Linked DNA regions of Caenorhabditis elegans. The protein of the gene in region 2 purifies or fractionates together with the protein of the main gene of each other region. This does not show direct contact. Each region holds a gene or a part of one and is shown on either strand. Other genes may lie near its edges. The genes, in order: ttb-1, taf-3, ZC443.4 and gtf-2E2.

The links.
Region 1: the proteins of taf-3 (region 2) and ttb-1 fractionate together in Caenorhabditis elegans (co-fractionation; one large-scale study listed by BioGRID). This does not show direct contact.
Region 3: the proteins of taf-3 (region 2) and ZC443.4 fractionate together in Caenorhabditis elegans (co-fractionation; one large-scale study listed by BioGRID). This does not show direct contact.
Region 4: the proteins of taf-3 (region 2) and gtf-2E2 fractionate together in Caenorhabditis elegans (co-fractionation; one large-scale study listed by BioGRID). This does not show direct contact.

Annotation. Positions count from the first base shown.
Region 1 is NC_003283.11:153,148-160,892, forward strand, and holds the start of ttb-1 (Transcription initiation factor IIB), read left to right. Parts: upstream 1-3,677; 5' UTR 3,678-3,683; coding exon 3,684-3,790; intron 3,791-3,871; coding exon 3,872-4,139; intron 4,140-7,160; coding exon 7,161-7,495; intron 7,496-7,745.
Region 2 is NC_003284.9:16,328,804-16,336,448, forward strand, and holds the start of taf-3 (PHD-type domain-containing protein), read left to right. Parts: upstream 1-3,631; 5' UTR 3,632-3,646; coding exon 3,647-3,833; intron 3,834-3,888; coding exon 3,889-4,004; intron 4,005-4,693; coding exon 4,694-5,347; intron 5,348-5,988; coding exon 5,989-6,300; intron 6,301-6,474; coding exon 6,475-7,105; intron 7,106-7,645. Other genes in the region: C11G6.2 (ATP-dependent DNA helicase), read left to right, coding at 414-473, 745-1,194.
Region 3 is NC_003283.11:12,815,232-12,823,612, reverse strand, and holds ZC443.4 (DUF659 domain-containing protein), read left to right. Parts: upstream 1-3,726; 5' UTR 3,727-4,567; coding exon 4,568-4,909; intron 4,910-5,360; coding exon 5,361-5,471; intron 5,472-5,518; coding exon 5,519-6,235; 3' UTR 6,236-6,701; downstream 6,702-8,381. Other genes in the region: ugt-18 (UDP-glucuronosyltransferase), read right to left, coding at 859-1,281, 1,325-1,410, 1,691-1,827, 1,872-2,364, 2,413-2,502, 2,551-2,593, 2,890-3,072, 3,134-3,280.
Region 4 is NC_003280.10:11,539,106-11,546,112, reverse strand, and holds gtf-2E2 (Transcription initiation factor IIE subunit beta), read left to right. Parts: upstream 1-3,617; 5' UTR 3,618-3,622; coding exon 3,623-3,700; intron 3,701-3,749; coding exon 3,750-3,843; intron 3,844-3,890; coding exon 3,891-3,982; intron 3,983-4,032; coding exon 4,033-4,320; intron 4,321-4,969; coding exon 4,970-5,287; 3' UTR 5,288-5,340; downstream 5,341-7,007. Other genes in the region: dnj-13 (DnaJ homolog subfamily B member 13), read right to left, coding at 1-56, 262-399; F54D5.9 (F-box domain-containing protein), read left to right, coding at 1,342-1,489, 1,538-1,744, 1,793-1,969, 2,024-2,665, 2,719-2,982, 3,043-3,302; dhgd-1 (D-2-hydroxyglutarate dehydrogenase, mitochondrial), read left to right, coding at 5,483-5,675, 5,749-6,315, 6,372-6,888, 6,951-7,007.

The DNA.
Region 1 (7,745 bases), on a different chromosome or scaffold from region 2:
TACGTTTCTACTCTAGGCACGTTTTTAAGAGATGCAAAATTTCCTACGATTCGTATGATCATCGCCTGATTCAAGCTGACCAGAGCTCTCTGGAACACAGACGGATTCTCCTTATATTAAAAACATTCCACAACATAATAACCGGTAAATATTACTTTCACAATTTAGCCCAGTACCTTAAAACATCTAAATCGCCCCGGTTTCCATACCAAATGACTGCAATTGGCAAGACAAATAACAATAGCTTCTTACACACACATCTTACAATTTGGAATAAAATATCAAAACTTTTTCCTGTGCCAGTGTCAGGCAATACGTTCTTCAAGCGCATTTCCTGCCTCCCTCTCAAAGAATATGCATAATGCTATAATCTCCTCTTCCTCCTCTACTTTGATCTTATTGTGATTGTAATATAATTGTACTAGTCTCCATTTGACCATGGACTAGCTCCAATCGGTCATCTTATTATTTACTTTCTTTTATTTTTAAATGTCCAATTTGAAGGTTTACACCTATATTGCAAAGTTAGTGAATAAATTATTATTATTATATATCTGAAAATGTTGTTGTCGGCTGTGGTAATTATAGACGAGATATTTTTTGGTTTGGTTCTTGAGTTCTGAAAACAAGAAGAGCTTTTGGATATCATATGCCATGTAGGCTGCGTTCTTCGAACCTGCCTATAGGTAGGTAGGCTTGAGACAGACTTAAAAACATAGAAGCATGTTGACAGGCGAGGCAGGCATGTAGGCAAGTACGTAGACACCGAGACTGTACGAAATCAACACGAAAATTTGCTCTTCTCCGAGTTGTCTCTTTTTGTGAGATCCACCGTTCCTTTTTAGTTTGCCAAGAGGCAATGCACTGACCATCTGCTCATAGGACCCCCTTCGTTTTTCATGCCGCCTCTGCCCAATTTGTGAATCGCCCTTTGGACTCTATGGGCGGAGTCGGCCCCTCACCACTAACACGCATTATGTCACTGTCATCCTCATCCCCTCCTCAACTGATCTCCGACTTCCAAAAATCCAAACACACACATCACTGTTTTTGTTGACATAAACAACTGGGAATCAGAGATTTCAAAATAGAATCTGAAACAACTTACTACAAAAATAACACCAATCAGCAAAAAAAAAAACGTGTGTGTTATCATTTAGGGGCAAAGGTGGCACTGACCTTTCGACTCTCTACTTCAATTTTTTTTGTTGGAAAATTAGAGGGCAAAAGAGAAAGTTATCAAGTCACACATTTATGTTGATTGTAAATTAAATATTTATGTGTGTCAGATGACTTTATTTGTCTGGAAATGAATGGGGAAAATTTGGAGGGAGAAGCAGAAGTTAGCATTCGAAAAAATGGGAACGGAATTCCGCGGAACTACATATTCAAATACAAGGGTTTAAGGTCTAAAATCGGAGGGAGTTATGAGTTAATCATAGATAAATTTTTATGTGCCAATCATGAAATTCTCAGAATTGGTCCTCGATCGTGGTGGGTTCATAACTTAGGCATTAGGCACAAATATGCATACCTAATTATTACTTATGTCTTTACAAGTTGAAAAGTTTTGAATGATTTATGTTATTTTAAAACTACACAAATTTTTAAACTGGCATATGGTGAGTCAGATGTTTTCTATTATACATTGACCGCTATATCTTATAAGATAAGGTTCAAATTTTATTTCGAAGCTTACGGCTGTTAGGCTTAAGCTCAGGTTTAGGCTAACGCTCAGGCTCATTTCTCGGTTTTCTCTAAAAAGTTATAAACGTTTTTCCAATGTGGAGGACTCCGTTTCAAAACTTAAAACAAGTTGCAAACTATGATATTTTTCTCTGATAGGATTAGGCTTAGTTGGCCGATTAAAGAATGCTACTTGACAGAAACGCTCATAACTTTTCAAGCAAACGAGTTATGAAAAAACTGTCAACTAGAAAAATGTTCAAAAATATTTTTTTGTTTTTGGTCAGTTGGCATTTTATTAATATCTCTGCAATGAACAAAGTTATACCACTTTCAATAGTTTTTTGTTGTATATTTTATAGTAGCTCATCAGAATAGTATTTCACCACTTGCACTTCCTACTATCTTCTAAATTTCCCGTCACTGCATTGAACTTCTGAGACACCTTTTCCCTCCGATCAACTAGACTACTATTTTCTCTGCGTCTCCAACAATGCCACACTCTCCGCGCAAAAACCGACCTTTGCCCCTTGGGGGTGGGGCTTGCCCCTTCTGTCGACCGACCAACAAACATAGAGAATGAGAAGAGAAAGAAAAAGAGACCCCCCACGTGTGCGGTCTCTATCTGATGGGTTGCACTTGAGAAGGGAAACGTGGTGTTCGTATGGGGATCCTGAGCAGACTACATACAGAATTTATTGCACATGCTACGTGGCAATTTGAGCTCACGGGGCGGCAAAAAGGGATCTATTTAACACCGACAATTTGTGATTTTGCACCAAAAATACGGTTACCGGTCTCGACACGACAAATTGTTGTTAAATGCAAAAAGGTGTGCGCCTTCAAACGGTACTGTACTTTCAAACTTTTTTTGCTGGCTTCTAATGTATTTTTTATAGTGTACTTTTTGACGAATTTATGTAGTTATAAAAAATATATTGTTGTGTTTGAGTTTTTACTAATGAATCAATTAATTTTTGTTGAAAAACTATGAAAATTTACAAAACTTCCGCAGTACTCTTTATAGGCGCAGACCATTCGGCATTTGTCGTGTCGAGACCGGGTACCGTATTTTTGGCGAAATAACGCGATTGAAATCGCAAATTTTGCGTCTGGGTAATATATTTAAATATATTTATATACAATGTTTGTATATAACTATATATAATGCAATACTGCATAATTTTTAAACTCCTAAGGCTAAAAATCCTTCTTCTCCCTTTCCTGGGGCGATGTTTTTGGGGAAGCTTCTTTAAAATTTGCCAAATGAATTAAACTTCAATATTTTCTGTAAAAAAACCGAGAACGGAAGATAATTGGCTTCAAAGTGCCCGGGCATTTTTGGGCATGCCCAAAAATCTCTGTTGCCAATTAACTATTATTTGAACACCCGCGCGCAAAGCGCTTAAAGTTTCCTAGGCCACGCGACCGTGTACTCCTCTCGGACAAACAAACAAATCGAATTTTATACATTTTTTTCTCAATTTTCGGCGATTATTCACGATTTCTCGTTTTTTACATTCTTCAGAAAGTAGTTTAAACCAAATTCTCATGTTTTATCGACGAAAATACAAACTATTCGCCTAAAAATGCCCGTTTTTACAACGCTTGCTGGCCATTTCTCTTTGAACTTTACTTCAAAATAAAACAAAGTCGCTATAAAACTTGTTTTTTCTTCATAAATCCTAAAAAAATCCCGTTTAAATTCCCTCCAATTTTCGCCCTGACACTAAACAGGGCGCGCTAACGACACTCCGTTTCTGGCTATTTAAATTGTGTTTTTTTTTCGAAATGCAAAATGATGTGCGAATTTCGTCGGAAATTTTAGTTTACAGTTCACTATAGTGTAAAAATTGGTCATTAATCGATTTAAAAGACTTTTAAAAAGAAAAAAATGACTAGGATATTGGCAAAAAATCGACTTTTATTCGAATTTCCTTCATTTTCACCGTTAAAAATCCGAATAAACTCGAAAATGTTCAAAATTTCAGCAGAAAATGTCGGCTCCAGTCCAGTGTCCGATCCATCCAGACGTGCATTTGATCGAAGATCACCGTGCCGGGGATCTGGTCTGTCCGGCGTGCGGCTTGGTCGTCGGTGATCGGTGAGCCTTAAAAATATATAATTTCCTGCAAAAAATGATCTTTAAATCATTTTTAAAGCAATTAATTTAACTATTTTTCAGTCTGGTCGACGTCGGAACCGAATGGCGTTCATTTTCCAACGAACGTAGTGGAAATGACCCATCTCGTGTCGGAGCACCGGAAAATCCGCTGCTCAGCGGCGGAGATTTGAGCACAACTATCGCCGTGGGCTTTGGCGGCTCCGACAGTGATAATAGTTTGGCGAATGCTCAAAGAAAGTCAATGAACAATACGGATCGTCAAATGACCGCCGCGATGAGCCTTATTAGGGAAATGAGCGAGAGAATTCACTTGCCAAGAAATATTCAGGTAGAATATTGGATTTTAACTGAAAAATTCGATGAAAAATGTTGGGAAATTCGTCAAAAAACAGATTTATAATCTCAAAGCAAAGGAATCACTTTAAAATTGGAATAGAAACTATAAAAATGACATTCTTCCTGGATTTTTGCTGAAAACACACATGAAATTGTAAAAAATCTCAATTTTGAACGATTTCAGCCGGAAAAAATTAGCGAATTTAGACATTTTTTGAAAGTTTTTCTTTCACTTTTGGACAAAAACAGCTGTTCAACGCTTAAAAAGTTGAATAATTGTCAATGAAACCTGAATTTTCCCGAAAAAAAAAAATTTAATATCAAAGTTTTAGTTTTTTCCGTAAAAACTCAAAGAAAGTTGTGAAAAAACTTAATTTCAACCTGAATATTTGTAAAAAAGCAACGTTTCTATGTCATTCATCGATTTTTCGAAAAAAAAAGTGGAAAATGAAGGTATCCACCTTTTTTTCCAATAATTTTCCATATGAATAACGTCTTCACAAGGAAAGTTTTGGGTAAAATCTCAAATTTGGAAGATTTTACTCTGTAAAATCAGAAAATTCTTTTAAATTATTGTTTTTTAATTGAAAATTCAAGATTTTCACCCATTTTCTTAATGATGCCGGCATTTTTCATGCAATTTTCTGATTTTTTTCACCTATTTTCAGTGACTAGCGCACGACGTGCGCTATGCCTTCGGGAGTGGGGATAGGGTTAGTTCGCTCTAACGTATCAGCAAGGTAGCTGGCGTAGGTTCTCGGCTTCGCCTCAAACCTGTGTTGGGGTTAAGTGTGTTCACCTTGAAATTAATAAAATATTCTAAGGATTTGTTTCTTTTTTACATTTTAAGAATTATTTTGCGGCTCCGGCGCTGAGTTTTCAGTTTCTCTAAGATTGAAGAAACATTCTAATGTAAGGAGTTGTTTCACATTGAAATATTCTTAAAAATTATTTAGCGCCAGCGGCGCTGAGTTGAATTTTCTCTAAGATTAGAAAAATATTCTAAGCAGTTGTTTCAAATTCAAAAATTCTTAAGAGTTATCAGCGCCTTCGGCGCTGGATTTTCAAAGTTTTTTGAAAGAAAGAAACATACTAAAAAGTTGTTTCTAATTTAACACTTTGAAGTCTTATTTAGCGCCTTCGGCGCTGATTTGAACTTTTACTAAGATTGATGAAATATGCTGAAAAGATTTTTCACTTTTAAAAAGAAAATGTAAAAACATAAAAGATATTTCGAAAACTTAGGTGAGGATATGAAATGGTAGTTTTTTTTCAAAACTTTTTCATTTTTAAAGCTGGACAACATTTCCCCTAAAATTTTTTTGAATCTTACATTTTTCGAATTCAGTGTCAAATTCTGAGTCTATTCAAAAAAACAGAATTAAAATTAATCTTAAACAAACCAATTAACAAACGCTCAAAGTTGAAAAATCAAAAATCAAAAAAGGCATTAACTTTCTTCTGGGTCGATTATCTCTGTGATGTATGACTCGATTTTCAAAATTTTTTTGTCACTCGCTTAAGAAATCTTCAAGGTTTTATATATTTTGCTCAGAATCAGAATAGCTCAAACGACTGCAAAGTTCTGAGAGGGGGAAAAAAGTTTTTGGACAAAAAACTACCGTTTACTACCTACAGTACCCCTACAGTACACCTACCGTTTACCACCTACAGTACACCTACCGTTTACCACCTACAGTACACCTACAGTACACCTATTTTTACCACCTACAGTACCCCTACAGTACCTTAGCATCAACTCCTAACCGAATACCTCTTCAAAAAAAAAATTAAAAAAAAAATAACACTCGGTGGGGGTCGAACCAATGCAACGCTGCTAACATTATTTTTTCCTATTATGTTTAAAATGTTTTGCAAAATTCGCAAATTTTGAACTTTTTCATATGTTTCCAGGTAGATATTTGATAAACTGTTTTAAAAAACGAAATCTACGTACAAATTCACATATTGATGTCAAAAACCTAACAAAAATGTTGAGGTTAAACATGTTTTCCATACACTTTTCAAAATGTAGAGATATTTCAGCTGTAAATTTCAAATTACTATAACTTTGCTCACAGTCAATCAAATTGCAGAAACTAAAATTTTTTAACAATCCCAGACATACACCAATTGTTTCAAATAAATTTTGTACCATCACCTTCAACACTGTGCAAAAAAAGCGACATGACACGCGAAAAACGCCTTTTTTTGGTGTTTTACTTAACTTTTCTCTTAAAAGACATGAACCAATTACATAACCATTTAGATAATAAGATAGAAAAAATATTTTTACATATTCTGAAAAAAAGAAAATCAAAAAATATCCAGTAACAGCAAAGTTAGAGACAAAAGTGTGTGCTCAGTTTTCGGACGGTGGTTTTGCGACACGCAAAACGGGAAATCACGCAAGTTCCGAATTTAATATAGGAAGAAGGCAGAAAATTCAGAATTTTATAGCCCAAATTCAGTATTAAATGTTGGAAAAAACCAATTTTTTTCAATTTAAAAAAAAAAATCTACATTTTTAATTATGTCCTGTTTGATTGTTTCAATTAAAACAAATTAATTAAAAATGCGAATTTCTAGTTGAAAATGCATGATTTCCATTTTTTGGAATTGATTTTTATTTGAAAATTCAAAATTTCCACCTATTTTCCTAACAATTCCGGCATTTTTCATGCAATTTTCTGATTTTTTTTCACCTATTTTCAGTGAAAATTCAGAGAAATAGCCTAATTTGAGTATGAAATTTTGAAAAATTTGTTTTTTTTTTCAATTTTCAAATTCCAAAAAAAAACAACATTTTATGCCCTTTTTGATAAAAAATTCAGTCAAAAAAAATTCAGTAAAAATGCGCATTTCTAGTTGAAAATTCGAATTTTCCATCCATTTTTCATGCGATTTTCTTTTTTTTTCACCGATTTTCATTGAAAATGCTGAGAAAATTAGGAAAAATTCAAGATATTAACAAGCTTATTCAAAAATTTACAAAAAAAAAACCAATTTCCAGGACAGCGCCTCCCGTATATTCAAAGATGTGCTCGAAAGTAAAGCTCTCCGCGGAAAAAACAACGAGGCACAGGCGGCCGCGTGCCTATACATTGCGTGCCGAAAAGACGGCGTTCCCCGTACTTTCAAGGAAATTTGTGCGGTTTCTCGAGTCTCGAAAAAGGAAATTGGACGATGTTTCAAGATTATCGTACGGAGTTTGGAGACGAATCTCGAGCAAATTACATCTGCAGATTTTATGTCTCGGTTCTGTGGAAATCTATCGCTACCCAACTCGATTCAGGCGGCAGCCACGAGAATTGCAAAATGCGCGGTGGATATGGATTTGGTCGCTGGGTACTTTTTAAGAAATTACGAAAAAAAAAAACAAAATTTTCGATTTTTTTGCTTCAAATGACAAAAAAAGGATGTAATGATCGAATAAAACTATAAAAAATTTAATTAAAATTTTCTACATTTTTAATGATCATTAATGAGTTTCTTAAAGGTAGACTACGCTCAGTGGGGAAATTGCTTTAAAACATGTCTATGGTACCACAATGACCAAATATCATAGTAAAAAAATTTTAAAAAATTTTTCTAAATT
Region 2 (7,645 bases):
TTGATTCAAATTATTACATTCTTACTATTTTCGAAAATATACGAATATGAATGACGTCAGAGAATCTGGAAACCGCAAAAAGCGCATTTTCAAGCACCTTTTCTGAAAACTTTTTGTATCTGATTTTATCTTAAGAAGATCATGACCCATCACCTACATCCTGTTAACATAAAGGCATGTTGTTGTCGAATTAATCATGTTGCGTTTTTTCATCCTTAAGACCCCCTGCCGTGCTCCACCTACATCCGACTAACTTCAAACGGATTGCACAATAAAGTATGCTAAGTTTGATAACCTTGGAGATAGCATCCGGATTGCTGGATATATTCTGTAGAACAGCATTCTGCATATTAATTGCATCAGCTATCGGCTGCCTATTATTATCTTTCTTTCTCTTCGAAAAAATCTACGAGATGGCGAACAACGAGCAACAGGATCTGTTGAATAAAATCATCCGTGATGATTCCAAAAATGTAAGTTCGCTTCTATACTTTATTTACCGAAAGTTACCTTTTTTTCTAATTTTTAAAACTCTACCTTTATTCATTTTCTGAATTCATTCAATGTCCAAAATTCATTTTTTTAATTCTATAATTGATGTATCGAAACTTAATTTTTCTATTTTTTTAAAAATAATCTTCCTAATTCACCAAAATCCATTTCTTCAAAATTAATTTCTAATTTCATTCATTTCTAAAATTATTTTTAATATTTTTTTTCCCAAAATTCGTTATTCGTTTTCAGAAACAAGTATTGTTAATGATAAATGGTGCAGCTAGGACAGGGAAAACATTTTTGATCAAGCTAATAGAAAACTCAATGAACAGAAGCGCAGGAAAAAGAGTAGTTTTGATGACTGGATCTACCGGGAAAGCAGCAAAAGCGATCGGAGGGCGCACACTGCATTGCACAATTGGCCTACCGAACGAAAAACCTGAAGATCTGGAAAGCTTGAAATCTCAGGCATTCATCTACGCCACGACACGACTTATTATCATCGATGAAATCACACTCCTAGCGAGCTGGCACCTGGATGCGACGGACATGGTTCTCAAAAGAACGCAGAAGAGGACGGATGCGCTCTTCGGCGGGCTATCGATCATCCTCGTGGGGGATCTTCGACAGCTGAACTTGGGAACAAGAGCGAATTTCTCATCGAAGCCTACAACCACGGAGGACAAAAATTCAAACTAAACGTTTCGGATGTCTACGCACTCGTTCACGAATTTGATCTTACTGATGGACTCTCGAATGAGCTGGAAGCTGCAATAATTGAACATAAAATGATCCAATACCCCCTAATTTCTTCCCAAGTTCGTAGTTTCTATATTGAAGGGAACCGTCTGGATGCCCCCGCAAATAAACTTTTCACAAGTAAAATGCCACGACGACTATTCCTAGGACTTGTATATACTTGACTATTCCTAGGACTAGTGATTCCTATAATGGTTCTTTTGACACCAGTCCTTTCAATTTCAAACCATACGATATATCAGATGTACATGTAGATTTTTGTCCCGCCGCGGTGAGCGGTGGTGAAGAGTCCAGCCCGGGCGAGTGAAGCGAGCCTAGGAGGACAATCTGAAAAATGGTTCATGTACACTTTGTGCACAAAACAATTACATTTTCTGTACATTTAACTTTACGCAAAAACAATTGTGTCACAATTGTTTTTTCACTAAAAAACACTGTTTTTTCATAAAATTTGCAAACTTTTCTTGATTTTCATAAGGGGGTACATCATTTTTCATTAAGAAGTCCATCATTTTTTTATGTGGGTGCATGTTTTTTCATAGGGGGCATTTCCGTGGATTTCAAAATATTTTCCTGTTCTTCTTACGCGTGTATGAATTTTTACCCACAATTTTTTTCTCATATTCCGCATATTTTTTTTCATTTCAAGTAGGAGTTTGTTACCCACATGTTTCAGGTGCGTACATTTTTTTTCTTATAGGTATAGGTATTCGTTCGATCAAGTGGTTCGGCAATGAGTTTTGAGATTTTTTTCATCACAAGGTGTCCATCTTCCCGTGTGTAACTCTTTCTATTGGCGACGAATGGCTAAATTGGAACCAATATTTGGAAGCTTTCAAATCACAGTCGGCTCTCTCGAGCATCATCCGAATCAACATTCCAAAAATTTCCCTGTTGCAGATCTAGATCTTCACACTTGATAAATTGTATGTCAACGGGACCGAAATTGACTAATCCAGAGATTGATTTTTTGAATTCTTGGTCTCCTGTAATGACTACGTGATCGGGCACTTGCCGAAGTTGCCGAACCCCGTAAATTTCGGCAGCTTTTCGGCAACCGGCAACCAGGTTTCAAAGTTTTGACGTTGGTCAAACATATATATATATTTATTTTTTTTTTGAAATTATATTGTTGAGCGTTTTGAAAAAAAGTTTGGTCGTTTTTTTTGTTTACAGTAAAATTGTAGCATTTTTCAGGCTCTCTTGTTTTTTCTGAACTAAAAAATGTTTGACACTGATATCGGCGGTTGCCGAAGTTGCTGAAAAAAGTTCGGCAATTGCCATGCTCGACAAGCAGAATTTGCTGAAGTTGCCGAACGCTGAAAGTTCCGGCAACCGGCAACTTGGTCCGAAAAGCATGGAGTTTTCTTTTGAAAAATGTTAAACATGACCATTTTTATTTTAATAATTAATTAGTCGATTATAATATTACCAACAAACCTATGTGAAGATTTGCAACCGAGCAAAACCAGCTCATTATCAGTTGAATACCATAATAACATGTTGTCCTGCTTACCTCCCTCACCATCCTTACAGGCCACCTGCAACCGTCCTCCTGTCTCTCTGCGCTCTCTCGGTTGGTGTGCACTGTCTCGTCAATTGCACGTCTGCGTCTCCCATTTTCCTGTTCATTCTTCTCAAACCCGTACCGTTTGTTTTTGTTTCGAGTGATTTTGGCGCAAATTTGGCCCGCAAATTATTGAATTTTGGTTGTTTTCTTGGCTCTCAATTTCTATACAAACTCTGCAGATCAGTCGTTTCTTGTTAATTTTCTTCAGATTTATTTAGTTTTTTCTATGTTTAATTAATTTTTTTTCCTGTATATTTTTGTGTGTCCCGTGAAATCATAATTGAACATTTTGCTTCTTTTGCATTTTTTGCTTCACAAATTTGATTAGTAGAAAAAAATAAAAATTCAACATGCTCTAGTTTTGCTTGTTTCGAAAGGTACTTCTTAAACAAACAAGCATTGGGCTATTTCCTGCCTCTTACTCACTCGCACTCTGCGTCTCTCGTGCCTCTAACAGTCTCTCACACACTCACTCTCTCTTTTGAAGGTCGTAAACACAGCAAATCGCTAGAGACAGTCACAATCGCGCTCCACTGTGACAGATGTCTTTGTTGCCGGGCAGCAGAGGCGCGTAAACTGGCTCATAGTAATTTAATTTAAAGTTGTAAAATTTAGAATTTAAAAAATAGCAAGATTGTTTTATTAAGATTTTTGTTTTTCACAGTTTTCTCAGGGCAAGTTTAATTTTTTTTGTTGTCAAATTGATTTGTCTTGCTTGGTTCATTCATTATTATTAATACATGAAAAATTGTTTTTTATTAAATTTTTTTGCCAAAACCACATGAACTATTTCTAATAATGTTTCTTTTTTCAGAATTCAAAATGGAAGAATCGCAGAGCCTATCGGCTCACGATTTTGCCGTCTACAAATTGCAGGACACCTGCAAAAGCATCCTTCGGGACTTCGGGTTCACGTCTGTCGCACAATCGGCGAACAGCAAACTGGCAGCCTTACTTAGAAGCAAGATAAACGAGTATGCACATTCGACGAGAGCATTTATGGAATTAGGTGGGGAATTTTTTCTTCTCTCAAAATATTATGCCAATTTTCAATTATTTTCCAGCGGGTCGCACAAAACCGGTCACAAATGATGTGATTGCAGCTTTCAAGCACCAAAAAGTTAGCCTTCCAGATTTGAAGGATTATGCAAAACAGGTCAAATCAGAGATGCTTCATGCGGTGAGGATATTATGATTTGTAACTGAAATTTGAAATTTGAAGAGAAATCTAAAGAAAAGAGCTTATTTTATGGTCTGCCAGACGCCGGAAGTTATTAGAAGCTAGAAAAAAATTGAAGCATTGAAAATTAAAACGAAACCAAACAAAAAGAAAAAGAAATCTGAAGCAAAAGTAGTTTTATTCAAAATCAAAAATCAGCCAGAGTGCCCCATTTCGGTTTGATCTACCTAGAGAATTTCGGGAATTTAGTCGCATACTTCTCAACTGATTTTGCATGATTGAGAGTGTGCTGACGACACTTGTTTTAAGAACAAACTCCCGCATTTTTTGTAGATCAAGCCGTAATGCGACAGCCTGACACCAAGTGTATTTTGTGATTGAGCAAAATGTACTTTTTGAGGAATCACTAGTTTTGGTGAATCCAAAAAATCTCCAATTTGCTAGGACGTCCTCTTCCAGTTCTAAAAGTTTCCAAAAGTTGAAGTGAACAATTTATTTACTATTTCAAAAATTTTTGGATGAGAAAACCACGAAAACCACAAAAAACTGAACTTAAAATATCCCGCAGTACTTAAATAAAATTAACTAAACTTAAAAATTTTTGAAAAGTTAGAATCATCTATAGAAATAAAGATCACATAGCAAACAAAAAGCCACCAGAAAAACTATCTAATTTATGCAATTTTCAGCTCCCAGTTATCCCGGTGCCTGACCAGGAAATTGCAAAGTCAGATGACAATTTCTTCCGTTCCATGTACGGCCCGAAACCATCAGAAAAAGAGCTCGAGGAGCGTCGTGAGCACATTCCTTCACACTTTCGAGCACTTCACCCAGAATGGATCGAAGAAGAAAACAAGGAGAAGCCGCCCGATGACACGGGAACACGTAAAGTCGTAAAAAGTGCTGAAGAACGTGAACAGGATGAGTTCAACAAGCTGAAAAGGATCAACACCTACCGACGCAACGAGAATCCGGAAGTTCAACAAGCTCGCGAGGAGAAAGAGCGTCGTGAGGCGGAGGAAGCCGCGTACGCCAAGAAACGGAATCACGAACGATTCAAAAAAGGAATCACGGCGCTTCCTGGCTCGACCCTTCCAAACTTTGAAGATATGAACTTTGTTGAGACCGGATTCTTTAAGGATTTCGAAGAGAACAAGAGACTGGAAGCCGAGCGTCGCTTACAGGTTCAGAATGCGAGCAAGGTTGCCCCGACGCTCCCACCGCCGGTAGTCAACAAGCCATTACCGTCATTTTCGACGGATTCTGTTTCTGCATCGTCATCTGCATCGGCTAGTATAATGGCTTCGCCAAGTTTGGGTGAGATGGCCGAAGCATTCCTAAAGGTGAGTTTTTTTCTCTAGAGAAAATGTTCTATTAGAGACTAAATTTGAAATTTTGGTGAAACTAGCTTTGTGAAAATTGCCAACAGAAAAAAGACAGAAAATATATCTATGATATTGACGATTTTTTTCTCAAAAAATGTATTATGATCTACCTCCATTCATGTGCAAATCAAGATGGGCTGCAAATTTTCTAGAAAAATCTACAAAACTGACGACTTTGGTGTAGTAATCCAACTTTAAAGGTGTGTAATTGTCGTGAAGTTTTTTTTTTGAAAATTTCGAAACATTGGTTCGCCGAAAAAATTTGCACCAACGGCTGGTGAAATTGTTTTTAGTAAATGGGAATATTCAGACAGATTTGAGATTTTTTCAAAGTTTTCAACAAAAAAAATGATTCACTATTTCTTTCACTACTATACATATACTAGAACTAGACCTAAAAAATAGATTTGCCGCGTGCTCCTGGAGCAAATTTTGATGAGTGTTAGTTCACGTATAAATTGAAATTTCAAAGTTCTGATTTTCAAACAAATTTTGACACGATAAAGTTTTCAGACAAGTTTCAAAATTTTATTTAAAAAATGTATCAAAACTGCTCACCGAAAATGTTTTATTTTTGTATTTCACCAAACTTTTTTCAGAACAAAATCTTCATGGACACTATCAACGCCTACGGAAAATCCTTCGAGCACAAGTCACCATTCAAAGATGATTCTGGACCAGCATTCCGATTGTCCGAGTTGGTGAAACCCAATAAGCCATACTTGAAACTCCCTGGCACTGGCTCAAATCCAGGATCTGCTCCATCGTCGAGACCTGGAAGCTCAATGAGCATTGGTACACCGACAAAAGTGAAGGGATTGCCAGGGCGTCCGAAGAAGCCGAAGCCGGAAGGTGTTGTTACTGTGCCAAAACCGAAGGGTCGTCCACCAAAGAAAGCCACTTTGGAGAAGGTTTGTTATTTGAATTTTTGCACAAAAATATAGTTAAGAAACACTTTAATGATGCACCTTTCAACACTCTAACACTCTTCCTAACACTCTAACACAGCACACAATTTAAGACGATTTTGCACGTTTTTGAACACTTCACAGCAACAAACAAATACTCAAACATGAAAGCTTCAGAGAAAGCGTCTCAGTGAGCAAATCATTGCACAGCAGCAGAAAAAGTTAGATGAGTTTAAAGAAGAGAAGGAAAAGCAGGAAAAAACTTCTGATAAGAAGCCCAAGAAGCAGACATTAGCTGAAGAGATTCGGGATCAGTTATTGCGGGCAAAGAGTAAAATTGTTCTACCCAACTCAGTCGTTGCACCAATTCAGACTACGCTGCCACCAGCACAACAACCAGCAACAGCGACGGGAATGGTGTCATTGACGATTGCGCCGATTCTCGTTCCCCAGACTAGCATGGAGCCGGCGACAAGTGTTCCAGTCGTCGGAGCTACAGTTGACATTGACTCTGCTCCGTTCCTGTTGGCCGAGCCAGCACTGGAGGTGGAGATCAAAACTGAAGATCAATTCCCCGAAGGACCATCGTCATCTGTTGCCGCTGATACTACGTTGGAATTTGGAGAGGATCAGGAGAAGAAGCCGAAGAAGGAGAAACGGGACAAGAGTTCGGAGGAGTACAAAGAGTACAAGCGTTTGAAAAAGGAGAAGCGTCGCAAAGAGCGAGAAGAGCGGAAATCTGCTGAGAATTGTGTGAAGATCGAAAAGGAAAAGACGTCTACACCGGTCAAGCAAGAGGATGTTCCAGGTTGGTGGTTGTTAGGAGAATTTCTTGTCTGAAACAATGACAGCGTGCGGTTTGAAGATTGTTTATTGTATTTTGATGTGCCATTTTTATGCTAGCGATATGTTAATGGGGCAATGAAAAACGGCAATGACTCTAACGAAAACACTCAAGCAAAGATATTATATTTTGAAAATTAGTTTCTCATTTTGGTACACGGATTCAAAATTACTGTAATTTCAACTTACTTAAAATTTTTAGAAAAGATTAAGATAAGATTTACGGAATTTTTTTTTCAGTTTTTTCAACCGGCTCCATCAATTTTAAAAAACATTTTGTTAATTTCTTTTGTTATTCCGTACAATTAGGAAGAAAAATGCGCAGATTTTAGAATTTTTAAAAGCTCATCTAACAAGAAGCTTGCAAGATTTTTTTAAATCTTGAACTGACAGATTGGTTTAGAAGCAATTTTTTAGACCTTGTATTTAAACATCTATTCATAAGGCTTTGTAATGTCTCTAAAAATTCAAGAATTCTAAATACATTATAGATATGTAAATTGTT
Region 3 (8,381 bases), on a different chromosome or scaffold from region 2:
GAAATAACCCGGGTTTGGGATAATTCAGTTTCCCTTTAACTGAATATTGTTTTAATTTCAATTTATTCCGTCTTTCCAGAAAAATGCATTCACTTTCAACAGATAAATGTATTCCTTGTCGCTTTAATTCACTTCCTTTACCAACAAATCAATTGGGGCAGACTACGGTTCGTTTTTTTCAAATTAAAATGCTCCCAGTTTTTCAGAATGAAAACCAGAAAATCATGTCAAATTTTTGTGATTATCCCTACAGCAACGAAGTGATTGTAAGTTTTAGATATTTTGTCAGTAAATTTGATTTTCGTATTTAAGAACAACAAAGAAAATCCACGTCTCAAGTGTTCTTAGAAAACAGCACAGTTTCCTCATTTCGATCAGAACGAGAATCCATTAGTATTTTCAAAAGTACGATTTTCACAAAAAAGGAAGAAAATACAGATATTGAGGCCACTGGTCCCATTTTGTAAACCAACTGATGGATGTAATGGAATAGCTGATTCAATGGAAATTGAAATGAAATCAACATTTTGGATAGAAAATTATGATAATAGTGAGTCATTTGTGATTTAATCAAAGTCTCAAAGCAATGTGTCAAGAAACTTTCTCAAAAATTAATTTACTAAATAAACTATTGTCAGTACTCTAAGACTTCATGGAAATAGATGTTATGGAAGACAATAACAACAACATGGAAATTGATGACCCCGTTGATGACGATACTTTAATGGATTTCTTGACAACACATTGAACTTTCAATTGTTCTTTTATTATTTTTATTGCTGACATATTATAAGATTTGTTTATTTATTTTTGATTCCAAATAGTAAATTACAATTTTTAATTAGATTATCCATTTATTTATTCCATCTTGGTTTTCTGCGATAAAAAAATTCGGGCAACAAGTTTGAATATAAATAAAAGAGTAAAATATATAAAAACTAACACCAAAAGTGCTAACATCACAATAGAACTTGCTATGTCAAATGAATAAAATTGGAAAGTGTTTAGATATCTTCCTCTAGAATTTAAAGAATTTAGAGCCCCATGTTCAACTGCAAATTCGCAGTGCTTTAAAACAAGATCCTTTGGAGAAACTGGTTGATCTCTCAAGATTCTAGCAAGTCTCTGAGCATTTTCAGAATATTTTCTCTCAGTCAGTACAGTTTTAAAAGCTTTTAATAATTGTTCGGAGTCCCCAAGCATGGTTTTGTGATACTGAAGACATCCTCCGTGCCTTTTGAGCATATGAGCATTTCTTGGCTGATCAGCCATAAGGGGAATCTGAAAAATAGAGTGGTGTTTAATCTGGCAAGAGTGTACTCACTATCAGTGCCGGTTTCCCCTGATAAGCTAACTCCATTGTACTGCCCAACCCACCATGGGTGACGAATAGTGTCAAACGATCATCAGCTGTAAATTTCTAGTTCCTGATTGATGACTTCGATCGAAAGTAAACACAAGTGTGTGTTTCAAAAATTATTCCAAAAACTCTTCTGTTAATTCTTAAGAACAAAGGTAGTAAAGTTAGCGTCCTAGGTTAACCTATTCAAATATTAGAAATACTCATTTTTGGAGGTTCCACTTTTTTACAAAAAATCACACTACACAATTTTTGTGACGTCAAAATTTTAAAACTACGCATTTTTATGTATCTTAAAAAATAAATTTGTAAAATACGTTTAATAATTACCTAACAAATCGTTTTGTGGCATCCACGTGGTAAGTTTCACATTTGGCAGATGACTAGTCAAAGTTGCATTGGCTTCTTCATATTTCCAGATGAAAGTAATCTCAGGCATATTTCCGAACACATATAAAAATGATTTTCTGAAAGAGTTGAATTTTTGATATTGATGTTTGCATTTTCTTACTTGAACTCCTCAGGCATTTCCGATGAAAATGCATTTGATCCGAATGAAATCAAAACATTCTGCTTGCGTATATTAAGTATATTATTCCATTCATCACTTAATTTTGTTTTAGCCTCGTTTGTGTTAACCTGCATTCCGCCAACAAAAACAGTTTTAGGCAAAGCTGGAGACGGATAATCAATGTATTGATTTGAATTTATCAAATTAAATGCTACTCCTGTGAAAAGATCTTCCCAAGTTTCAGTTCCATTATAATATGGCTTAATCATCTCCAGCTCTTTTTCATATCTTGATCCATACAGATATTTCGTAAAAAGCATTGTGATCATGTTTTTGACACGTGCTACAAACGACATTTTGTCATCATGTGGAGAGAAAAGTCCAGGGTAGTAACTGATCGCAGCTGGCTCTCCATGAGCATACTTTACAGCGTCCTTAAATAAATTCGACTCTGCATTTATGACATTCTTGATTCCAATGTGGTCGAATAAAGCTGAAAAAGTGTATTAAATTGAAATATATACATACGACAAAAACTGACCAAATGGGCATGCAAAAAGGGATTCCGTTATTGCAAGATCGAAATGCTCATTTCTCAGACGATCGATAATATCTTTTTGTTGGAAAATATCTGTAAGCGAGAAAATAGACTAAGAATTCATTCAGAAAAGGTACTCACATTCACACTGGTAGCCTATAGCCAGGTTCATTGAGCCGACAATCTGGAATTTCGAAATGTTTTCAGATTATTTTTTCACATTAACTGGCATTATTTTCTCATTTGAGAGAAACTTTTCAAATTCAAACACGTTTAGGTTCAACAATTCGCTACCACATCGCAATCAACTTTTAAGAACTGCCACCCACTTTTCAGACTTTACAAAAAAAAATTCTGTTTGACCAACTTTAACCACTAAAGTTTTTCGCTTTTAAGTCTTCTAAAAAAACGAAAAACGGCAACCTCGGTGCGTACTAAGGCCTTGCTTCAAATACTTCATCGAAAGCAAAAAATACTAACCGTTACCAGAGACATCATTTCAGGATCCATTCTCCATACTCTTGCCCTTCCCATATGCTCAATCCCTTCTTCTTCGAAAAGTTTTCCAGCTCTCTCGTCTCTTCCTATTCTCACTACATCTTTCACTTTTTTTGAGCCAACAAAATCTTTCTTAGTTATCAGATACTCTGGGATCAGCATAGTCTGAAAATTTTCTAAAGTGTTTTTAAAGTTAATTAATGTATAACTTTTATATAAATCTTACCACATTGTGTCCTGCATCAATGAGAATATCAGATATTTTTCCAAGAAAATTAGAATGACTTGCACCATAAGCAGGATTGAAAACCAAAACTTTATACGTTAATGTAGAATGTATTAATACAAAGAATAAAATAAGAGCGAATTTCATGATCGGAGTAATCTTAACTTGAATGATTGGTTTGTAAGATAAGAAATGGAAATGTTGACTATTTGGTCGAAATTATGTGCATTTGGCAACAATTTATGACAAATTTCTATTGTGATAGACCTGCTCGTGATAGTGATAATTCAGCGTCCGGGAAAACCTCCGGCCTCTTGTTCCGCATATGCTTTCTCCTCATTTCCCACAGATTTTTACTGATGATGGGAAAGGTTTCAAATTTAAAATGAATGTCAGAAGACGAACTTTGGTTCGATTTCGAATAGTTAACAGTTAGCATATCTAACAGAATTATTAGATATGTTCACATGTAAGTTTGCGAAATATTTCAAAATATTTCAAGGTCTTCTTGAGCGGAGTGAGACTGTAGGTGTGTATCAAACTGGCCTATCTTAAAAATAGACATCTGGGAAACAAACTAACAAAAATATCACTTTTCTGCTGTACCAGTCATAAATTAACATCCATTTAACTTTAGAAGGAACAATTTGTTGTATATGTAGTAACTGAAAAGTATTTTGTCACATTTTATTATTTCATGTTTTTCATGTTTAGCCAAGTTGCAGATCGTTTTCCAAAAAAAAAAGAGTCAAAGAGTATTCCGCCTTGTAACGATTTTGTTGAAAAATGAAATTTTTCCCACCCTAACGAAATAATTTTCAAACGTTTCTTTAAAATTTTAACGAATTTCGTTTAAAGTTCGAGTCACTTCTCTTCACATGTTCCCAAACACTGCCATTTTTCAAAAAACGTTTTCCACACACGTTTGCCTTCAAAAAAAAAGAGGCCAGCCATCCATTTCTGTTTTTTTTCTTGCCAACCAGTCATCTAGTCCCGTGATTCTCTCACACCGACTAGTAGTCCGTCAAGTCCTTCATTGTGCAGCACACACACGGCGCCACGAAACGACGTCTTCTTCTGCTCTGTCAGTCTCGTCTCTGCCTGGGACATCTGACCAATAAATATTCAGAGAAACGACGGCGTAGAGGCCGCTTCGCATAGCCGCTCGCCAGTCGGCTCTTGCTTCGTCCTCCTCTTCTCCCTATATTTTGCCAGTTGTTTGTCGTCGAACACCCCTCCTCGGCCGCTCAAACACACACACGTCGCCATCGCTCGCGTCGCGGTCTCTCGGTAGTCTCGTGTGTTCTTTATTTCTCACATCGACCCTCCTGCCCATAATTAGGAAGGTCGTTGTTTCCGACATCTGTCGCCTTTGCAAACTTCTTGATTCTATTTTCCTTATCTTTTGCCCCAATTCTCACTTAATTCCCTAAAATGCCAGTGGTGAACACTGCAAACTTTGTGGACCGACTACGTGACATCACCAAGAGGATCGATATCCGTCCGAGTCTTCAGAATGTCTCAAAGCGCTGGCACAACGTTTACGATGCTCTAGCAGTCGGCTCTCCTCAACAAGTTCAGGAATTCTACAAGTATATCAAAGTATACAAACAATGTCCCGCCAACGATCTACTCTTCATGAATATGACAGTACAACTGGCTCGTGCTGCAATGTTTCCAACTAATAGCATGTTTAAGCAAATGCTCAAATTTGAGAAGCATATGGATGGACTCATTTTAGCGGAAGGAATCCATGGAGTTTATGGATCTCGCGGGGTGAGTGAATTAACTTTGATTGAATATATTATGAACCCACTGCAAATTGAGTTCTAGTGCTGAACGGGAAGTTTATGTAGATTTGCTAAATTTAATTATGGTAGTTGAAATCGGAAATGGTTGAATATTAACACGAAGAAATCAGTCGCGTATGAAGAAATGGGATGCAAGACTGATTGAAAAAATACGGTAGCGATATATTTTGAAACCCGATTTTGCTAACAGGATTCCTCTGTATTATTCAAAAATTCTATCAAAAACAATAAAAGGTCCCTTATCTAAAAGGTCCCTAAGCACAAAAATGTTAGTCTTCAAATTTTTTTCTTATCGGAAATTGTTTGAAATACATTATTATGAAATTTGTTGACTACACTCGGAACTAGAGCACGAAAATATAATATAATTGCCGTGCTAGATAGAGTTCCGCTCTGAAAGTTTCACTGGTTTTCAGATTGAAATTCTCTGTGGTCACAATGATCATTTGCTCCGAAGATACAGAAGATTTAAGCGACATTCTGAAATCAAGCGAGCTGATAAAGAGATAAAAATTGCTAGAAAAACGGTAAATTTTAACATGTTAACTTGAACTTGATTAATTTAATATTTCAGGCAAAACAAATGGCAGCTTTGAGAGAAGTTCGAGCAAAGTCAAGATCACAGAAGAATGTGCCAGCCTATTCATTTGATGATCCAGCTCTGATTCCTGGAGAAGGCCCAATTCCTGAGAGAGCTACAAAAGTATACTACAATGCTGTGAAAAGTGTTCAAGCTCCAACTCCTGAGCAGGCTCCGGTGGCACAAGATGTTGTGGTCAATGAACTTTCAGAGGTTAAAAAATACTGCGAAATTCTGAAGGCTCAAATGGAAGAAGCTGAAAAGAGACGAGAGGAAGATGACGTGGCTAACAAGCTCAATGAAGTCGTCGAGAAGCTCATCTCAACAGCTAAGGATTCTGGAAAGAGTCAAAAAGAGGATGAAGAGGAAGAAGACGATGATGACGATGATGATGAGGAGGAGGAGGAAAATGTTGAAGATGATGAGAATTTGGAAGATGATGAAGATGATAGAACAGAAGATCAAAGCTCAATTAGATGCAGACAGTCGGAGTCTGAAAATATTAATTTCCCAGATTTCCAATCTTGTAATATCACTGAAGATCAGAAACAAGCAATTATGAGAATCCTTCTGGGAAAATCTGAAGAAGAAAAAGTAGAAGCCATGGAAGTTACTCAAGAGCAAAAAATCGAAGAGTCGTCGGACGATGAAGAGGAAATTGAGAAGATTGACGACAAAGACGTTGATGCTATGGAGTACGAGATGTTGTAACTTTTTTCTTAATTTTTGTTCCATAACAATACTTTTCTCACCTATACATATATGTTTCACAGTTTTTTCCTTCACAATCTCTAAATTTAGGGACTATTCCTCTTCACTCTGTACAATTTGTAAAAATTTGTTGTTTTTCTAAAACCATGTAAAATAACTTTACAATAACTTTTCCACCAACACCACCTGTCCTATTCCATTTCTGGTCATCATCTGATTTGAGTACGCGTGCGCAGTCTACGAAAAACACACATTCAGGTCATCCATCCATCCATCTGCTGTCCATCTGTAAGTTCGCTTGTACTTGACATTTTTCTCTCCAACGTCATAATTTCCCCCATATTTTATGTATTTTCGCACTTTGTATCGCTTTTTAATTAACTTTTCCCCTGCACTTTTTTCAGATTGCAACCGAAAATAACAGAACAAAAACAATTGTGAATAAATTTGTGAATTTTGTCACCATAATCCTCTTGTTTTCCACTTATCTTTACAGGAACATTGTGATGAAAAACTCGTGACATATATCTAAAATGTTGGACGGAAGTCAATGTGACCTGATCGTTTTGGGTTGGCAAAAATTATATTGTGATCTCATAAATCGTTTCTTGTTGGACTAAAGTTCGAGGTGTTTTAATTTTAGATTTCATAGTTCAGGGATAAATTTTTGAATCAGCTTCAGTTTATTGAAAAAATAATTTAATTTCAGGTAACAAGTCTTATACAAACTATTATGAAATTTAATTTTTGTACACGCACAGAAAATTCACATGTAAACACAAGTAGTTGAAAAAATTATATACATAACATGAAAATAAACTAATGAAAAAATCTTTTTTGCCAAATCTGAAAAACATTTTTGCCGTAAATTTTTTTAGCACCAGATTGTTCGCTTTTCTGTTTATGGGAAAACGTAGCATCACACGTACAACAAAAATTGAAAAGAACGTCTGTTTGATGAAATTTCTGAAAATCCACCGGATTTTTATTGTTGGGATTCTGGTAATTTTTAAATTTATAACTGAAAAAATACATAAATTTTTCTAGTGATGATCAGCTAAAATACAATTTTAAACTTTTTGTCTCCTCAAAATGAAATGCGAAGCTCCCATAAACTACCAGGACATGACCATCAAAATGACAAAAGGGTGTGCTACGTCACATCTCAGCTGAAAAAAATCCCCAAATTGCAGTCATCTGACATTGACTCGGGAAAAATTGAATTGTCGAAATACGTAGACCCCTAAAAGATTGTAGATTTGTGATTTTTGATTTCAATTCAAAATTTTATCAAGACAGAATTGAATTGCGGTAAATGTAACTAATACTTCTCACCTTACCTGTCAATTGTGTAATGAATCATGTGCAATAAATTCGAATGTACTTTTCAGTCAGCCGTGTTAACTGAATCATTGAACAAAATGGACTTTTATGAACTTTACGTTACATTTTTCCTGACATGTGGTAGACACTGAAAGGGATTGATGACCAAACAGTCAAATATTGTTGCTCCAAAACAATGGTAAACTTATGCAAATATATAGCGAATAATGTCAACAAGTGTTATTGTCAGCTGAGTATCGGTGGACAAACATCAACATTTTGTTTTTTCCTCCAGTTACTCACTCCAATTTTTCTGCTAAAATTCCAGACTCCCAATTGTGAAAATATGAGTAAATACCACCTGTATACCGAGACCATCCGCGTGATATGACTTTTTGTACCTTTTAGACTGGAGAACAGAGATGGAGATAAACAAAAGACGTCAAAATCAGAACGGAGTGATAACTTTTGTAGGAAAACAAACATGAAATAGTGTTGACTGTCGGCACTCCCATCATTTATTACTTTTTGTTGTTGTGTGCAACATTTCGACATTTTTAGTATTTTTCATATGATATGCTTATCGGCAAAATCAGAAGTTTAATTCATTAAAAGTTACCACAAGTTTAATTAAGGTGAATAATTTTTTTGGTTAATGTAAACATGTTCAAAATGTGATTAATTTTTCGGAACCATTTTTTTCAGTGCATTTTGTCACTAATTTTGGGTTCCTTGAAATTTTTTCCAACGACTGTTTTCAGTCCACTTTGTAATGATTTCTTTCTAATGTTTAAAGGTAGATAAAATTTCAGAAATTTTTAAA
Region 4 (7,007 bases), on a different chromosome or scaffold from region 2:
TCGTAAATCTTCTTTTTCTTATCATCGGAAAGAACATCGTAAGCTTCGGCAATTTCCTGTAATTAAAAAAAATATTATTTCAGGTTAACATCAATAAATTCCCAGAAAAACTGCAATTTTACTGGGATTTTCTATATTTTGATTAAAATCGTTTTTAAATCGAGTGCTTAAAAATAACAACTTGGTCATGAAAAGTACAGTATCCTTCACCGAGGACCAAAAACTTTTTTTTAAATTAGAAAACTAAATTTTAAAAAATACCTTGAATTTGTTCTCAGCTCCAGCTTCCTTATTCTTATCCGGATGGTATTTCAAAGCCATTTTACGATAAGCCTTTTTGATTTCATCGTCTGTTGCACCTTTGCTGATGCCCAGCACTTTGTAGTAGTCTTTTCCCATTGTGGAAAGTAATCTGAAAAGAAATCATATGAATTTTTGAAATATTAACCAGTAACAGGTTAACGGAATAAATGAAGCAACAGATAGATAAAAAGAATACACCCGGCAGAATAAATATGGGTCAACATCAGAAGAGGAAACACGGAGAAATGGAAGAGAGAGTGCGCCGAATCATGAGAGAGAAGAGTGCGGAACTTTCCAGAGCGTTCTATTTACTCGCGAAGCGCAGTGCATGTTCGATCTTCCGTCGGCCGGTGGAGCGCACATGCATCACTCGTTTTTTTTATTGAAAATACATTGGTTTCGCAAGATAAAAATGAGGAATGAATAAAAGCATGAGCACGATACAAAGAAAAGAATGAGCAAGAGATAAGAAATTGTGCTTTTTGGTATTTATTTTCTGAAAAAAGAATATTCTGGAAGGCGAAGTTTCGTCACGAAAAAATATGTTTGTTGGAAAGAATGATTTACGTACACTAGGAAGAAAAGTTATGCTTAAAATTCACTTGCTTATTTAAAAATTGATTATTTAAAACCTGAATTGTTAAAATTTAAATTATTCGAAGAGAAAATAAAGAGAAAAAATTGTTTCCATGAAATTAGTTTTGTTCTCGTGTATAAACAGCAATCAGATATTATTTTTAGAAAAGATTTTTAGAAAAAACTTTAATAAAACTGTATTGAATTAAACAATTTTAAAAATCAAGCCTCTATCCATAATCCAGAAGGCCTCCTGAACTCTGCGCTCGAAAACCCCTAGGCGCGCCGAAAAAAAATAAATAATGCGAAGAGTACTGTATCAAAGGGACATCAACGGCGCACAGTATGGTCCTGCCACGGAGACATATTTCTGTTTTCCTAAACAAGTTTGTGCGAACCTCCATGCTTTTTCACCGGTCCCAAAGTATTTTCCTCTGATTTTAAAGTATTTTTCGTATAAAAATGTTTCGGCGAACCGAGCCACCGTTCCGATTGTTGGCTAGAAAGCGAAGAAATTCCGATTCGACGCCCCCAATCACGAAGTTCTTTGCAACAGTAAAACGGGAACGTTCAAGCTCTGAATCGAAAAACGTATGCCAGAAGTTGGACGGTACGACAATTTTTCTTTTAATTTAAAATTAATTTTCTTGATTTTCAGAAAGTTTCGAAGCTCCCAACAACTTATCTCAAACCTCTCATACCGATTCACCAGACAATGGGCTTTTGTACTCCTTGGAGGATTTGCGAGCACTTTTAGGTGTTCCTGTCAAATTTTCCTCGAAATGTGTGCCATCTCCAGATGCACCAGTGGGCTTGGAAAACCTGCCGAATAGAGCCTATTCGCATATTTTCACAATTCTTGACAGTTAGTTGTGAAGTACTGATCAGAAATTTTAACATTCACATTTTTCAGTGCAATCCATTAATGCGCTTTCACTGACATCCACAAAGTTGTGCTCACGAGTCAAAACCTACGTTTCAACCCACGATTTTTTCCGTCGAATGCAATTGGATAATCTTGACTTTCTCAATAGCTCACTCCGCCCCGACGATGAAGAATTCTTAGAGAATGATCCTTTCACTGCATGTGGTTAGTGTTGCAATATTTTTATTTTCGTTTATAAATCTAAATGTATTTTAACAGGTGGCCTCATCAAATCCATCACGATCACAATGAACACAAAGATCCGCGCTCAAGTCTTCCTGAACATCTGCCGGAATTTGCGTGATCAACTCGGAGGCTCCCTTCATGGTTTTGGAAGACTCCTGGAAACGATAACGCACAATTGGAAGTTCTCTGAACGTCGTATAATGGTAAAAGCTGCAATCATGATCGACGCTGATCTCCGTCCTTCGATTATCAAGGTTCTTACTGCTAAACCGGGCCAGTTGATAGGTCTCGAGATGAAAGTTCGTTCCGGGTTGACCCAACTCTTCCTCAACTTGAGTCAAGACATCGATGAAGCTTCTCCACAGGAGATTATCGAGTTTGGCTCCTGGTTGTCTGTTCTGATCCGAAACGTAATTGAAAAATATCAGGGAAAGTTCTATTACATCCTATTCGGACCAACAAGATCTTCAAGAATTGGCGAACGCGTCGACTGGGCGTATTTCTGTGAGGACGATTCAGATACCTTCACTTTGCGGAAGAGTGAGCCAAACTATAGGAAATTGCTGTCAACGTTGCTCAATGGAATCCGCGCTCTTCGCATCATGAATAATTCCAAGAGTTCGGACCAAATGTGGAGCGGGAAGAAACTTTATCAGCTTTTCCTCCGGATCATTGGTAATATTTTTTTTTTTAATATTTTTAATTTTTAATAGCTTTTTAATTTTCAGAAGTTTGCGAAGTACAAGGCTTTTGGTCTGAGACCTCATCTTCTATGGCGCTGGCCATTGATTCTTCAGGATTGCTCAGCGAATATCTTGTCACCTGTCTCGATCCTCGCCGCGACGACTATGAAACTCTCCAGAATGAAGCCGCGGAGATGGTGTGTCTCGTACGCAACCATCTTTATCGTTGGTCGGCTGCACCTGCCACGTTTCTCGCCGAACCACTGCACCACGCATTCAATCATCTTGCGCAACTCGATGGTCATTACGGTGAGCGGCGTTCTGTCATCTTTTCGGTGCGAGAAATAACGAATATTATTATTATTACAGACGGTTGCTACAAAGCTTTTCTCGAAAAGATTTGGAACGTTCAAAGTTCACGGTTGAAGGAAATGGTAAAGAACGCGACAAACACAACCGAGTGTTCTGAAAAGATCCGCGAAGAGCTCGACGGTCAGCTCTCAATGGCTCGCCTGTTGACGGATATATCAAACACAGTGGTTCTTCACCAAATAGGCTTCCAGCTTCCAAATGACCTAGCTGCTGAACTCGTCAATGATCCACTAGAAGAAGAGGAGCAGCTGGAATAAATCATGTTTTATCTGTCTAGAAAATTTTGAAAATAGCTTCCAACTGTAGAATTAGTTTTGTTTTTGTTTTCTTTTACTTTTACTTTCACTTTAATTTTAATTTTAATTGTTCAAATTTAAAGCTCCTTTCACTCCTTGTTCCATCTTTCTCATTCTGATAAAATCAGCGAAAACTAATTCACTTTATTGTTTACTACAGGGTTCAGCCCCCTGCCACCATTATTTGCCGGCCACTGGCCTTGAAAAACCTCTTCCATCATCGATTTTCACTCTTAAGAGAGTACTCTTCATTGTTTCGAAAGGTTTTCGTTTAAGCAAAAATGGATCCGGAATTGTTAAGGCAGCGAACTGCTTTCCAGAAGCATGCTGCAACAACGATGGCTGTTCAGAATAAGCCTGTGAGAACTTTAAAAATTAAAAAAATATTGAATTTATCGATTTTTTAAGACAACAGCACCAAATTCACACACAACATACTCTTCAGAAGCAGCAAAAGCGAAAAAGAAGAAAAGCTCTGGACCGGCTCAAAATTTGTCGAAACGTTAGTTGTTAAAATGTAATATTAGTTTCTGAAAACGGAATTTTCAGTCCCAGATTTCAATAATTCCGTGAGCAACGCCAATGCGTTATCAAATGCCACAAATTTCAGTACAATGGCGAAAATTGTGGATTATATGAAGGTATTTATATTTTAAAGCGAAATTTTCGAGTTAAAAACAGTTAATTGCAGAAACGCCACCTAAACAATCAACAATGGCCGTTGACACTTCAAGAAATTCTCGATGAACTTCAAATTTTTGATCTTTCAAAAAGAAGTCTTGCTTTCCTTCAAGAAGCATTACCAAACAATCCTCGACTGATAATGGAATCCGAAAAATTCGCATTTCGACCACCTTACAAAATTAAAGGAAAAACTTCGTTGGTAGCTGTCGCGAGGAAACATTATCAGGACGGAAAAGGTGGAATTCTTGTGTCGGATTTGGCTGAGTGTGTGGCTAATTATGATGCACTACTGCAGGTGGGAATTTGAATAATTTATAACAAAAATAAAGTTTTTATTTTTCAAAAATTTCAGCTAAAAATTAGTAAAATTGATTTTAAAATTATCAGCGGCTTATTTTTCGTAGTAATTAAAATTTGAGTTTGTGATGAATTAGATCTTTTAGAATTTCTGAGTATTCAACAATGTGTTTTTTTTTGATTTTCAAATTGAAATAAATTGAAAATTAAATATATAAATTCACAAAAAAGATAAAATGTGTTGAAAATTTATAAAATAAAATTCAGAAATTACTTTATTTTCAGACTTTTGAACAAATTAACGTTATTTTTCAATTTTTACACGAATAATTTTGATCATTTTCGATCCCATAAGTTAAATATTCCACAAAAAAACATTGAAATCGATAAAAAAAAGGTTTGAAAAAATATATTTAATAAAGTAAAAAAAAATTATTACACTTTTCCAGCATAAAACCTTTTTCCTTAAAAAATTTTCAAAGGAAAAACATTTTTGAAGGCAGAATATTCTCATTATAACTTTTCAAAAACTAGGGTATTTAGGGTTAATTTTGATTAAAAATCAGAATTTTTAAATTTGTCAAACTGAAAAAATCAAAGTATAAAAAAGGAGCAATTTTGTGAAATATTAAATTAAATTTTTCCAGCAAGTATCCTCTGAAGTGATCGTTGTTCCGACACAAGTCAATAAGAAAAAGGATCGAGTCGTCTTCTACAATGACAAAGAATTCACATTCCCAGAGCTCGAAGACGATTTCAAAGCCTTGTGGAGACACGTGTCTGTGGATCATTTGGATGAGAAGAAAATCGAAGAATATCTCCAGAAGAAGGGTCTCGACGCGATGAAGGATCTGACGCCGAAGGTTCGAATGCAGGCTCCACTGAAAAGAAAAGCCGCGAAGAGACGGTTCAATCAAAAAGTACAAAACGAGCATATGGACGGAGTTTTGGAGGATTACGAATGATTTTAATTACACACTTCTGTTAACAGTACATAAAATGAACTATGATCATTTGTATCTCTTCTGTCTCTTTTTCTTATCACTGCCCAGCCGTTTGTTTTCTTATTGTTTTCGGCAAATCGGTCACCTAGCCGAGCTTTGTCTCCTACTATTTCTTTTGAAGTTTCAAGTTATTTTTTGAAAAGTTTCTGAATTCAGATGTTTCTGAAAATCTTGCCACGAATCAGAAGACCAACTAGAAGCTACGCAGCAGTTCTTGCCGCCAGACATGAAGGATTTGCAAAAGTGATGCAGTCGGATTTAATGGCATTTGAGAATTTTCTCGGGCAAGATGCAGTGAAGAAGGACGATATTACAAATCATACTACAGATTGGACAGGCCAATTTAAAGGTATTTGTATTTTAAGATTAGGTTTATTTAATATTAAATAGGTACTTTAAATATTAAATGTTTTAATTTCCAGGTCCTGGCAGTGTCGTCCTCTACCCGAAGAGCACCGAAGAGGTTTCTGCAATATTGGCGTATTGCTCCAAGAACAAATTGGCAGTAGTCCCACAAGGAGGGAATACAGGACTCGTTGGTGGATCAATTCCAGTACATGATGAAGTTGTTATATCAATGAATAAAATCAACAAGCAATTCTCTTTCGACGACACAATGGGAATTCTCAAGTGTGATTCTGGTTTTATTCTGGAAGACTTGGACAACAAACTTGCAAAACTCGGATATATGATGCCTTTTGATCTCGGAGCCAAAGGATCCTGTCAGATTGGAGGAAATATTGCCACGTGTGCAGGAGGGATTCGGTTGATTCGATACGGAAGTCTTCACGCACATCTTCTCGGGCTCACGGTGGTTCTTCCCGATGAACATGGAACTGTTCTACATTTGGGATCAAGCATTCGGAAGGACAACACAACTTTGCACACTCCACACCTATTCTTGGGAAGTGAAGGGCAGTTGGGTGTTATCACAAGCGTCACAATGACTGCGGTTCCTAAACCGAAAAGTGTACAAAGTGCGATGCTTGGTAGGTTGAATATTTATATAATGGGTTCAAATTTTTCAATTTCTAATTTTTTTCAGGCATCGAATCCTTCAAAAAATGCTGCGAAGTACTGAAGCTTGCAAAATCCAGCCTCACTGAAATCCTTTCCTCCTTCGAACTTCTCGACGATGCTACGATGGAATGTTTGAAAACGAATCTAGGATTGCACCCAGTACTGAATGCTCCAACCCCATTCTCGATCCTTGTCGAAACATCAGGATCCAATGAAGATCACGATATGGAGAAAATGAGCGCATTTTTGGATGAATGCCTCTCAAAAAATCTGATTATCGACGGAGTGCTCGCTGGATCTTCTGCAGAAGCTACGAAGATGTGGCAATTGAGAGAAAGTGCACCATTGGCGGTTACCAGAGATGGATATGTCTATAAGCATGATGTTTCTTTACCATTGGAAAATTATTATGAATTGACGAATGTGATGAAGGAACGATGTGGTTCTTTGGCTAAAAGAATTGTCACTTATGGACATTTGGGAGATGGAAACACTCATTTAAATATTACATCTGAAAAACACAATGAAGAACTTGAAAAATTGTAAGTTTCGAGATTTTTCTTTTTTATAAAATTTTAATTCTATTAATAATTTCAAATTCCAGGCTCTATCCCTTCCTCTACGAATGGGTTGTCGATCACGGCGGGTCAATTTCAGCTGA